Linked DNA regions of Caenorhabditis elegans. The protein of the gene in region 1 purifies or fractionates together with the protein of each later gene. This does not show direct contact. Each region holds a gene or a part of one and is shown in the gene's direction. Other genes may lie near its edges.

Region 1 (6,645 bases):
TTCAAGAAGAAAAACGTAGAATGGAAGCATTTGCTGAAAAAGAACGACTTGCATCCGAGAGAGCTGCGGTGGAAAATGAATTGGAATCTTTCAATTTTGAATGTTCACAATATCTCGAAGAAACTGAGTTCACTGATTACATGGCTGATGAGGAGAAAACAAAATTGGAAGATTCTGTGAAAAGAATTCGTGCTTGGCTCGAAGACGATGTGACGAAAGATACACCAACGAAGGATTTCACAGATAATTTGCTCGAATTGAAGAATGTTGTACGGAGTGTGAAAAAGAGACAAGAACACGACAAGGCAGTTCCAGAGAAGTTGAAGAGCTTGGAGACTCTTCTGGAAACCACTTTCTCATTGACCACTTTGGGTAACAATGTTGACGAGGAGAAGGCACTATTCAAAAAGGTACAGAATATATCTAAATTCGTGTAGCAATATTTTTTTCAGGAAGACCGTGACGGTTTGAAATCTAAATTGGACAAACTGAAAATTTGGGTCACAGATGTTCGGAAACACCTAGATTTGAAGAAGAAAACAGATGATTTCAACTTCACTGGAAAAGATATTGACACCAAGGTACATTGAGATGAACTACAAACACGAATACTAATTAATCATTTTATTTTTCAGACCAAAAATCTGAACCGTGAAGTAGATCGATTCATGAAGAAAATGAAGAAGATCACAACATTGGACGATCTTGCCAAAGACGGAAAAATTGATATCGACACCATTGTAGAAGAAGCAGAGAAGAAAAAAGCCGAACAAGACAAGAAGAAGGAAAAGAAAAGCACGAAGAAAGCAAACGAGTCGAAAGTAGAAAACGAGTCAGAGATAAAGACCGAGCTTTAAATTTTTTGAAAATTATATTATCATTTGGAGCATTCTCTTCCAACGGGATATTTTTTACTCGTTTCTAAATACTTGTTCAATCTTTTTCTCATGTTTGCCAATGCTTTGGGATTTTAATTTATTAAAAGTTCGAATGTGATATGATGGTGATTACTCCCATGGTTGTATTTTTTTTTGTTTTCTTGTAGTCTTCTTTGATAAAAAAAATAAAAATATTTGTCTGTAAACGCTTGTAATTCAGTTATCGGCCGATATCGGTACTCTATGTCTACAACAAATTTTGCTGGCGAAACTACTGTTTTTGAATTACCGCGTACATTGTGTCTGCGCCTCTCTGCGTCTTGCATTGCCTCTTCAACGAACTAAAGGCGCATGGTATTTCCTGAGTAGGTCTCAGAGCGTCTGTTTCCCTGCGTATTTCTCTTCTTTCTCAAGTCGCTTTTTCTTTGTTTTTTATGCTCTGAAAATGATTTTTATCTAATGAATGTTGGTTATATTCGAGATATTTGTATTTTCCATGTTTACTTTTTATATGGTAGCAATGCGGCACAAAAACGGTTTCAATGCCGCATAATTCAAATTTCGTTTTTAAAATAAGTAAGATAATGATATCCAAATTGAATATTTTGATAATTCAAAGCCGAATTTCTTTTAAATTAAAAATTTACGCATATTGATATGCTCATTCTTATTGTTATCATGCTAATCAACTCATGAATTTAACCTTGTTCTCTTTTGAAACGATTTTTGCATCATATTTCTTTTGAGTCATCATAATGTGTCTATTTTGCAGCAAAATGGCGAAACAAGGGCAAGAAGCAATGAAGAAGGCTATTCAAAATGCTAGAGGAGCTGGAGTTGGTCTAGGACTCGTGGCTGCTGCCGGAGCCGCCGTTTACGGTGTCGCCCAGTCAATGTTCACTGGTAATTATTTATATTAAGTATAACGATCAAATTAATTGTTTTCAGTGGAAGCTGGACACCGAGCTATCATGTTCAACAGAATTGGAGGATTGTCGACGGATTTGTACAAGGAAGGACTTCACTTCAGAATCCCATGGTTCCAATATCCAATCATCTATGATATCCGTGCCAGACCAAACCAGGTACGTATACAATTTTCATAGTGGCGGTTTTGAAAATTTAAACACTTATTTTTAAAAGTATTCCTGCGAAAAAGTATTCATCTGATAATCAGTCATAATTCAAATTGTAGATTCGCTCTCCAACTGGATCGAAAGACTTGCAAATGGTCAACATTGGACTCCGTGTTCTCTCTCGACCAAATCCTGAACATCTCGTTCATATCTACAGAACTCTCGGACAAAACTGGGAAGAGCGTGTTCTTCCATCGATTTGCAATGAAGTTCTTAAAGGAGTTGTCGCCAAATTCAATGCTTCACAACTTATCACTCAACGCCAACAGGTAAATCAGCTATTTAAATTTTTAGAAAATTATGGGTTATGATCTGGCTGAGTTTCACCTCGTTTAAAATGGTTTTTATAGGTTTCTATGTTGGTTCGCAAAACATTGATCGAGCGGGCTCTTGACTTCAACATTATCCTCGATGATGTTTCCCTCACCGAGCTCGCTTTCTCTCCACAATACTCTGCAGCTGTGGAAGCTAAGCAAGTTGCCGCACAGGAAGCACAAAGAGCAACCTTCTATGTTGAACGTGCTAAGCAACAGAAGCAAGAGAAGATCGTTCAAGCTGAAGGAGAAGCTGAGTCTGCAAAACTTTTGGGAGAGGCCATGAAGAACGATCCAGGATTTTTGAAGCTTAGAAAAATCCGTGCTGCTCAAAAAATTGCTCGTATCGTGTCTGAGTCTGGAAACAAGACTTATCTCCCAACAGGAGGATTGATGTTGAATATTGCCGACACCGACTATTTGAATGTGACCGACAAAAGACGCTAATTAAGTCATTCCTGAATCTGATCTTACCCGCATTGATGAGTAATTGGAAACTGTAATCATGTTTTTTTAAAAATTTCCCGTTTAGCATTATCCCTCTCTTTTTGTTTAAAATAGTAGTTTAGTTTTTCTTTCAACCCATCAATTTGTTATTGTTTTGTTTCGAATAATTAATAGAAAAGAGAATCATCATGAATTTTCTTCATTCTTTTTAATAGTTTTCTATTTTCAATACATTTCACTTTTTCGCTAGGTATGTTACATTTAACGTTTTTGGTTACCAGAGTGACAATCAAGTCCAATTCAAATGAAACCAATCTGATAACCAAAAAATTGTACAACACCGGTTCAATTAGAAAAAAGATAAATTGGAAGGCGGAGTAATAATTTAACATGGCAAGGACTAGATTGAAGTGGGGGTTGGCATTTTGAAGAGAGCTCAGTTTCAATTGTATTAGTATTAAAGGGCAGCAAGTTGTCGTTCCAAATTCTCCTTGAAACATTGCTTGATATCGTTGAGGACAGACCAGCATGGAAGCATCGATACATCAGCCTTAAATAATTAATTAACAAAGATAATTTCATTATAATTACCTGGAATGTAATTCCCGGTTTCATGTTACAGAATCCAAGGCATTTCTTTCCAGCAGACGTTTTATCAACTTCTCGATCAATACAGCATGCAGTGTGATCATCATTATCAGCAGCACACTGCATCAGATCTAGACCGTGATGTTGTGGGCATGCATCAGTTCCAAGGAACATTCCAGTTAGAACTTTCTTCGAAAGAACATCAAAACTACAAATTCGTTCGCAAGAATTATGCACCTTACGTCCCTTGCAGCACTGGAGGAATTTTGCACTGGCAGTCTGAAAATTTAAAATTCAGATTTCAATTAAGAGGTGTAATCTTACTCTTGGCTTGGCAACTGGAGCAGTCACTGGAGCAGGTTGTTGTGCCAAATGGCTCTTTGGAGCAACTGGACGAGGAGCTGGTCGTGTTGCTGAAATTGAAATTAGAGTTGAAAAAAATTTACATGAAGTTTCATCTGTATGAGTTTTCACATCTAGATACTCACCTTGTTGTGGCTGTGGAACAGGTCTTCTAGTTTGCGGCCGAGCTGGAGCTGGACGTGTCAATTGCTGCTGTGGTTGTGGACGAACGACACGGGGTTGTTGGAATTGCTGTAAATTAGTTAGAGCTTTTATAAACTCTTATTATTACATAATGGCGCCAAAAATACGGTATCCGGTCTCGACACGACAAATTTTTAATTAAATGCAAATAGGTGTGCACCTTTAAGTAGTACTGTAACTTCAAGTTTTCATTGATGCGGAATTTTCATCCATTGTTTATAGTATTTTTTAAAATTTTATAGTATTTTTTTGATAAACAAAAATATTTTTGTCGAATTACGATATGAGTCTTGATATGAAAATTCCGCAGCAACGAAAGTTTGAAATTACAGTAATCTTTAAAGGCGCGCACCTTTTCGCATTCAAAAAATTCTTGCCGCGTCGAGACCGGGTATCGTAATTTTGACGCAAAATCGCAAAACTTTGCATCTAGAACAACTATTTTTACCTCATTTGGTCTGACAAATGTACGTTGTTGTGGTGGAGATACAACAGCGGCTGGTTGAGATGTTCGTGGAATATTGGCAGAACTTGAATGAACGCTTCCTCCTACTGATTGAACACGGGTCTTGGTAGACTAAAAATTGAAAAATCCGATGATTACTGTTATTATTATTTTAATTGAAAACTGTAACATTTGACATGATTAATATGGACGAGAACGACAAAAGGATAATAAAAATTAAGGAAATTAAAATAAAATAATACCTGTGGTCTTGTTCTTTGTGTATCCTCAAAATAAGATCGATGACCATCGACAATAATTTCATCGGGTTTGTAAGATGGATTCTGGAGAATGGTTACAATTGGTTAAAGAAATGAAATCACAAAACTAAAATAAGGACCTTTGGACGTGGAGGATCAATACTGTACAGAGATTTTAAAGTTGGAATGAATCTGGCTGGCGGCGGAGGGACACGGATCTGAAAATGATGAGGATCGACAAGGACAGTGAAGTGAGTGATATAGATGAAATATTGAAACATGCACGTACAAGTGGTGCCTGAGTCTGTGCTGGAGGTGCCGGAGGTGGTGGTGGTTGGGCGAGCAGAGTGATCTGCAACATAAGATAAATAAGGGAATCAGAGGAATCAACAAAGAACATTTGAAATAAACTTTTTTAACTTAATGAAAATCTGTGAATAAGGAGGGATAGTTGGTGTCGTATTTTTTGATTTCCAGGTTTTGAACTAATGGTTCGAACTTCTCAATCATATCCAAAACATCCTGTTTGGCAAAATAATAGTTTTAAACAAAATTAAATTAAAGTTTGGAGGAAACTTTTTTGACTTGGTGCATAAAATCAATTTTGTGCCATAATTACCTTTTCTTGGTTTTGAGTGAATGAATTTGGTTGCTCTCGGAACAATTTATTATCAAAATCGACTTGTTGAACACTTCTAGCAGTATTCACATGTTGGAATGCAACATCTGGTACTTGTGGAACTGGCTGAGGCTTCTGATGATATCTTGGGATATCGGCTGGTTGAACCATTACTGGATTCTGCTGAGATGGACCATATTGTTGTTGCTGATAAGCCTCTGGTGGTGGGGGTGGAGCTTGTGGGATAACAACAGTTTGTGAGTAGATTGGTGGTGGAGCTGGTTGTGGTTGCTGCTGATATTGAAGTGGTTGCTGTGGTTGCTGTTGTTGGTACTGTACAGGCTGCTGCTGTTGCTGTGGTTGGAAATATTGTGGTTGCTGAGGCTGTTGCTGAGCTTGGAATTGTGGTTGGTACTGTTGTTGAGCTAGGAATTGCTGATAATTTTGTTGTTGTTGCTGGAATTGTGGTTGCTGCTGGAACTGCTGTGGTTGTTGAAACTGTTGCTGTTGGAATTGCGGGAATCCGTTGAAATTATTAAATTGTTGATGTTGTTCTGGCCATTGATAGTATTGACAGTGAGCTGAAATTAAATTTTAAAAAACGTTTTTTTTAAGTTTCAAACTGAATATTTTCTTGACAATTATGATGGTAATGTTTTTGGGAAATATGCTACCGTATTTAACTATGAGTCTTGCACCATGTGGCAGCTATATCAGAATTTTTTAAATCTGTCAACTGACATAAATTCATTATCTGTTATTCTAGTTTCATTCTAGAAAGATTACGGATATTTTCAAGTCTAACGGAAAAAAAACTTTCAAGTTTGAGTGATGGGGTGCGGAACAGAAAGACAATATATAATTTTCAAATTTTGAAAATGGTAGTGGTACTAGAAATGCAATATATTCGTGTTTTCAGTGGATAACTGAAACTATGGGTTGAAACTAAACTTTCTACATTAACCTATAATAGAACTTAGAGCTCACCGTTGGCTGCCAATATGGCAACAGTTGCCACAAATCGGTAGATCATAATAATGGTAGATAGAGAGAAAATGGAAAGGTAAGAAGGTATAGACTAGCAAGACCGGATCTTAGTGGGCAGCCCAGCACTGCTAACTAAAGCCGAATGGGGCGTGGCCAAGACGTGGAGCGGGAGAAGCTGGTGAAGAAGATTTTGGAAGAGAGAAGGCGGAGGGAGAGGAACACTGGAAAAGGTCGACGGGCCTCTCTCTCTGTAACGGTGCGTGGGCAAAATGTGTAATTTCTAGTATAATCTAGGCGACACAGAGACTGGTGTGAAGCTGCTTTGAAAGACAAGGGGAAAGATGCCGTGATTGTTAATTAAGAATATACTAGGTGTTGTACATCTTTATGGTCACACTTGCCAAGAACACTACTAGTTGATTGTG
Region 2 (5,467 bases), on another chromosome or scaffold:
GGATGCATTCAGCATTCAGATCTGTAAAAAAGATCTTGCAACATTGAGTGGATTGCATTGGCTGAATGATGAGATCATCAATTTCTATCTTCAATTGATTTGTGATCGGAGCAATGGCGATTCGAAATATCCAAAGATCTATGCATTCAACACATTCTTTTATTCCAATATTGTTTCAAAAGGATACGCGAGTGTGAAACGATGGACAAGAAAAGTCGATATCTTTGCATTCGACATCGTTTTGGTGCCAGTTCATCTTGGAATGCATTGGTGTATGGCTGTTATCGATATGGGCGAAAAGAAGATTGAGTTTTATGACTCTCTTTATGATGGAAATACAGCCGTTTTGCCAGCATTGCGGTTAGTTTTTTGAGTGTTTTTGGTTTTTATTTAAAAAACTCACAGAGAATATATCAATAAATATTTTATATTTCAGAGGTTACTTGGAAGCTGAATCATTGGATAAGAAAAAGACAGCAATGAACTTTTCTGGATGGACAATTCAACAGATGACGGTATATTGAATTTTAAAAAAATTAAATAAAAAAAAGGATTTTTACTTTAAATTTATTTCTGAAAAAAAGTTTTTTTTTAGAAGTCCAGATGTTTGGCTCAATCACTCTTTTTTTGATATCTATGCTCTCTAAAACAACCAGTAATACTTCTGAAATTACACACACAAAAAGATCTTCAACACGCGATAATCATCTTGTTTAGGACATTCCTCGTCAACAAAATGGCAGTGACTGTGGAGTATTCTCATGCCAATTCGGTGAATGGGCATCTCGACGAACGACGCCTCGCTTCACGCAGAAAAATATGCCATACTACAGAAAGCGAATGGTTTACGAGATTGTTTCGAAGAAGTTACTCGCAACTATTTGATTCTAGAAGATTAAAAGTGTCATAATTCATAGTTTTGTTTCCGGAAAAGTAGCTGTAAAATGTATTTTCTTCTCATTGGGCATAATTAAAACTTATATTTTGTCGGTGTCGTAAGCCCGAATCATCTAGAAAGTCTTTAATTTTCTGTATTTCGAATTAACCATATTTCCCATTTTCGTAGCATTTCTTCATTATCCAAAATATCGTTGTGATTCTCATCACTAATTATAACTTTTGATTTCATTTCATACCGTGTAAAGAATGTTCATACAAAAGATTAAAGATGATCGACGGTGTCAGATCACATCACATTATCACTTGTCACGTGGTCATTCTCAGATGACGTTGTTTTGTTTCAAAAGGTGATGCAAACTTTCCCATCCCGTTTTTAAGATTTTTTTGTCTCTGTGGATCTCTGGCCTTTTTTCTCTTTTCTCTTTTTCATTCTTCCTTTTATCCGAGTTTTATTTGATTTTTGACGTATTTATTAACAATTTTCTCTCCCTTCCACCTTTCAATTCCCAGTTCAATAATATCAATCAGCTTTCTCTGTTATATCAATATATTTCACTCCCGATCCCCGTCACCATTGCAAGTTGCAATAAATACAATTTCTTCACTTTTTTTTCGTTGAAATTTATTTTTTTTTCTTCTTGGTTTTATTTTCAACCTCATGGTTATATATTTTGAAGTTTATACAGATTCAATGTTTTATTTTCTAAACAGAGGAAATTTAAATCCTCCTTTATTGTGCTCATCGTGATCACAAAGTCACAAAAAATTTAACTTCCCAAAACCAAAAGAAATTGTCGTTTTGTTTTCCTCCTCACGACTCAAAAGTTAAATTTTTTGTTTTTTGGTCCGAAAAACCAACAAAACCAGCTATTTAGCAAACAAGAAAAAATGATCGTGATCTAAATTTTCTGGAAATTTTCAAAACCATTTCTTCCAATTTTTGTTATTTCAGAAAATAAAATAGATAGAAATATGCATGAAAGCGGTGAACCTACAACTGCAACGGGTGATGCTTCAGCCAATCATTTTAAAGATGGAATTATCGATTTATTGGCTGGAACAGCTGGTGGAATTGCCAACGTGTATGCTGGACAACCATTAGATACAGTTAAAGTAAAAGTACAAACATTCCCGAATCTCTATTCAAATTGGATTGTTTGTCTCAAGGATACTTATAAATTGGACGGAATTCGAGGACTTTACGCTGGTTTGTTATTTTTGTTTCGAAAATTTTGAGCTTAGTCTGGATTTCTGAATCTAAAAAAAGAAAAACAATCCTTTGTACTGAACACGTTCCATGCAACTATAAAAAAGAGTACTTCTTGAAGTAAAAATTCTCACCCTTTCTGGGAAGAACAATATAACGTGTTTTCAAAAAAAACCTTTTTTTGCAAAAGTTTCAGATTCTTTTTAAATAAAATACAATTTCTAAAAAGCTTCCAGAAAGCTCAGCAATTTTTTTGAACGTTTTATTTCAAATAACGTAGTTTTGATTTGGAAGTCGAGATGAAATCGAAAAAATCTTGAAAAATTAAATGTAACTTGATTTCTAAAATTCATATTTTTCAACATCCAGGAACTCTCCCAGCTCTAGCTGCAAATGTTGCTGAAAATGCAGTTCTCTTCACTGCCTATGGTTACTGCCAAAAAACAATTGCCACACTGAATGGACTCGAAGATGTCAGACAAATGACACCATTGGAAAATGCATTCTCCGGATCTCTTGCCGCAGTTTTTGCAGCTACCGTACTCTGTCCAACAGAACTTGTCAAATGTAAACTTCAAGCAGCTCGTGAAATGAAGAAGAAGTGTACACCATTCTCTGTTTGTCGGGATATCATGAAGGATACTGGTGTCCGTGGATTCTTTGTTGGAATGACTCCGACTCTTGCAAGAGAGGTTCCTGGTTATTTCTTCTTCTTTGGAGCCTACGAAACATGCCGTTTCTTATTGACTGATGAAGGACAGAAAAAGGAAGAAATTGGACTTGTGAAGACAGCAATGGCTGGATCAGTTGGTGGTATGGCATTATGGACATCCATTTATCCAGCAGATGTCGTTAAATCGAGAATGCAAGTCACCGGAGGAGGAACTTTTATGTCTACTTTGGGCGCTGTCGTTAAAGAGAATGGTAAGTCATTATTGAGGGATAATTAATTCAATTTCTTATAAAAATTCAATTTTACAGGAATTCGTGGACTCTACAAAGGACTTCTACCAACCAATCTAAGAACTTGCTTCGCTTCTGGATGTCTTTTCGTCGCTTATGAAGAGACACGAAAGTTCTTCCACTACGTCCTCTAGATTATATTAATCTCTGCCTAGTAAATTTTTCAATTTTTCCTCATTTTTTCTTTCCATCACACAAATATCATCATGCTATGAGAGCTTTCTTCGTTGTTTCTCTTAATGTTTTTTTTCGGTTTCTAACGGTTACTCTGAGATTGCCATAGGCTCACTTACGCCCGGTTGTTGTTTTCTAAATTTTTTAATAAAAATTGTTTTTTTTTGTTATATTTAACCTTCAAAAATCCTAAATGTAATGAACATTTGTTCATAGTCACTTATTTATCTGCTTCTAACACTGGCCAATGCTTCTAATGATCTACAACTTTCTAAAGTCAAAAATCTTCCAGTTCATGTTCTCTAGTTGCTGGTTAAAAAGCAGCGTCCGATACTCGCGGTTAATAAGACAATTTTCATCGGAAAATTCATTTTTCAAGGTGAGAACAGATATCAAATTAGGTAGTGAGATTGAGGTCTCATCACGAATAGCTGGGCAAATCCTGTTTCTTTTTACACTCGCGCATGATCTCGTTGTCCATGCGGAAGTGAATCTTGTCGTCAGTATATCGGACTGAAGACACAATCGGCTAAATTGTTTTTCCTTTTTCTGTGAGAATTTATTATTTTCTGAAAGTTAAAAAATTTTAATACCTTTTTTAGAAGCTTAAAACAAAAATTTCAAACTTTGATGTAAATATCATTAATAAAAATGGTGTGAAATTGTTATTGTTGATCCGCAATTTAGCGGAAACGGTGTGCATGTACAAACAAATTCAAACATGATGAAATCTGACAGCCTTGCATTTCATTTTCTTTGTGTTGAATTTCGCAATGTTTTTTTCCTGAAAACTTCGCTAGATTTCGCTGGTTCTCCAGTAATTATATGAAAAGGGTTTGAAAGTTTTAATGCTTTTTGAAAATTTTAATGCTAATACCATTATGCTTAATTTGCTTTTTTAAATGAAAACTTTCACGTCCCTCTTGGATTTGTCTCTCTGCCGTCTACAATCTCTTTCTCGTGTTGATAGGGCGCGCTTGCATTTTTACAATTTTTCTTAATTTATTTCTGAAAAAAAAACTAAATACTTTCTTTCTTTCCGAAATGCTTAATTCATATCTCCTGAATTTTGTTTTCTAATAGAGATTTAGAAGCCGCTAATAAACTTTTAATAAATGTTGTTTTGCTTGCATTTATTACGGTGCGAAAGATGATATAATAGGCCGAGTTAGTGAATATTACTTGAAATCTCCACATAAATACAACTTGTCGCGAATATGCAGAATACCGCCGATCACGACTTTAGAAATGATATTGATAACAAGGAAATGCGTTAAGTAAATATTAAAGAATTAGTATAAATATTACGAAGTCTGTCCGTTTTTTAAATGCTCACGACAATCTACCGAAGTCATCAACGACGACAAAGCCAAGAAACTCCTGTTTGAAAGCCGCGCCAAAAGACACACACTACACGAGTTTTACAGTACTACAATACCTGCACATCAAACCCCAACACTTCTTGGTTTTACCCTCGGACGATCGGACCGGCAGGTCGCATATTAAAATCTATGAGCTTTCCAATTTTATTCGTTAACCAGATTTATCAGTAATAAATTATATGATTCTACCACTTTTGAACCTATACCGATTCGCAACACAACTTATCGTTAACCGTTTCTATAAAATATCGCTTTTGCAGGTTGAACTAGTCCCAAGTGACCGGAAAACTCCACTTCAACCCAGAAAGGTAGTCGCACCGCGGTTTGAGAAGAAAACCAGGCAAAAAATATCGGATTATTTGAAGCAAATGGCTACTCCGGAAATTGAAGCGGTATTTCATTCTCTCTACGCTCGGCTTCAGTCATTTTCGAATTTCAGAAACTCGCCCCTCTTCGTGCTGCAGTAAAAGAGTATGGAGATCTGATCCGTGATCTCAAGGCGAAAGGTGCTCCAAAAATCGACATCGATAAAGCGGTTGTTGAATTGAAGGCTAGAAAGAGACTTCTTGAAGACACAGAAATTGCTTTGGCACCAAAAGAAGCATCATTCGATCGTCTGAAATTGGAGGATCTTCTCAAAAGACGATTCTTCTATGATCAATCATTTGCTATCTATGGTGGTGTCACTGGTCTCTACGATTTCGGTCCGATGGGATGTTCCTTGAAGGCTAATATGCTCCAAGAATGGAGAAAACATTTCATTCTTGAAGAGGGCATGTTGGAAGTTGACTGTACTTCTCTCACTCCTGAACCAGTTCTGAAAGCTTCTGGACACGTTGAC

The links. Proteins that work in one complex are often made in the same cells at the same time.
Region 2: the proteins of phb-2 (region 1) and T10F2.2 fractionate together in Caenorhabditis elegans (co-fractionation; one large-scale study listed by BioGRID). This does not show direct contact.

What each region holds. Positions count from the first base shown.
Region 1 is NC_003280.10:6,249,761-6,256,405, forward strand, and holds phb-2 (Mitochondrial prohibitin complex protein 2), read left to right. Parts: upstream 1-1,650; 5' UTR 1,651-1,654; coding exon 1,655-1,781; intron 1,782-1,826; coding exon 1,827-1,963; intron 1,964-2,073; coding exon 2,074-2,283; intron 2,284-2,364; coding exon 2,365-2,775; 3' UTR 2,776-3,020; downstream 3,021-6,645. Other genes in the region: T24H7.2 (Hypoxia up-regulated protein 1), read left to right, coding at 1-410, 453-581, 636-857; dbd-5 (uncharacterized protein), read right to left, coding at 3,233-3,325, 3,367-3,642, 3,688-3,776, 3,852-3,957, 4,358-4,486, 4,618-4,698, 4,755-4,832, 4,904-4,966 and 2 more. UniProt on the Caenorhabditis elegans protein: PHB proteins are essential during embryonic development and are required for somatic and germline differentiation in the larval gonad. A deficiency in PHB proteins results in altered mitochondrial biogenesis in body wall muscle cells.
Region 2 is NC_003281.10:5,161,697-5,167,163, reverse strand, and holds T10F2.2 (Mitochondrial ornithine transporter 1), read left to right. Parts: upstream 1-1,852; 5' UTR 1,853-1,872; coding exon 1,873-2,107; intron 2,108-2,476; coding exon 2,477-3,031; intron 3,032-3,088; coding exon 3,089-3,204; 3' UTR 3,205-3,405; downstream 3,406-5,467. Other genes in the region: ulp-1 (Sentrin-specific protease), read left to right, coding at 1-360, 437-515, 718-885; gars-1 (Glycine--tRNA ligase), read left to right, coding at 3,540-3,623, 4,887-5,018, 5,066-5,467.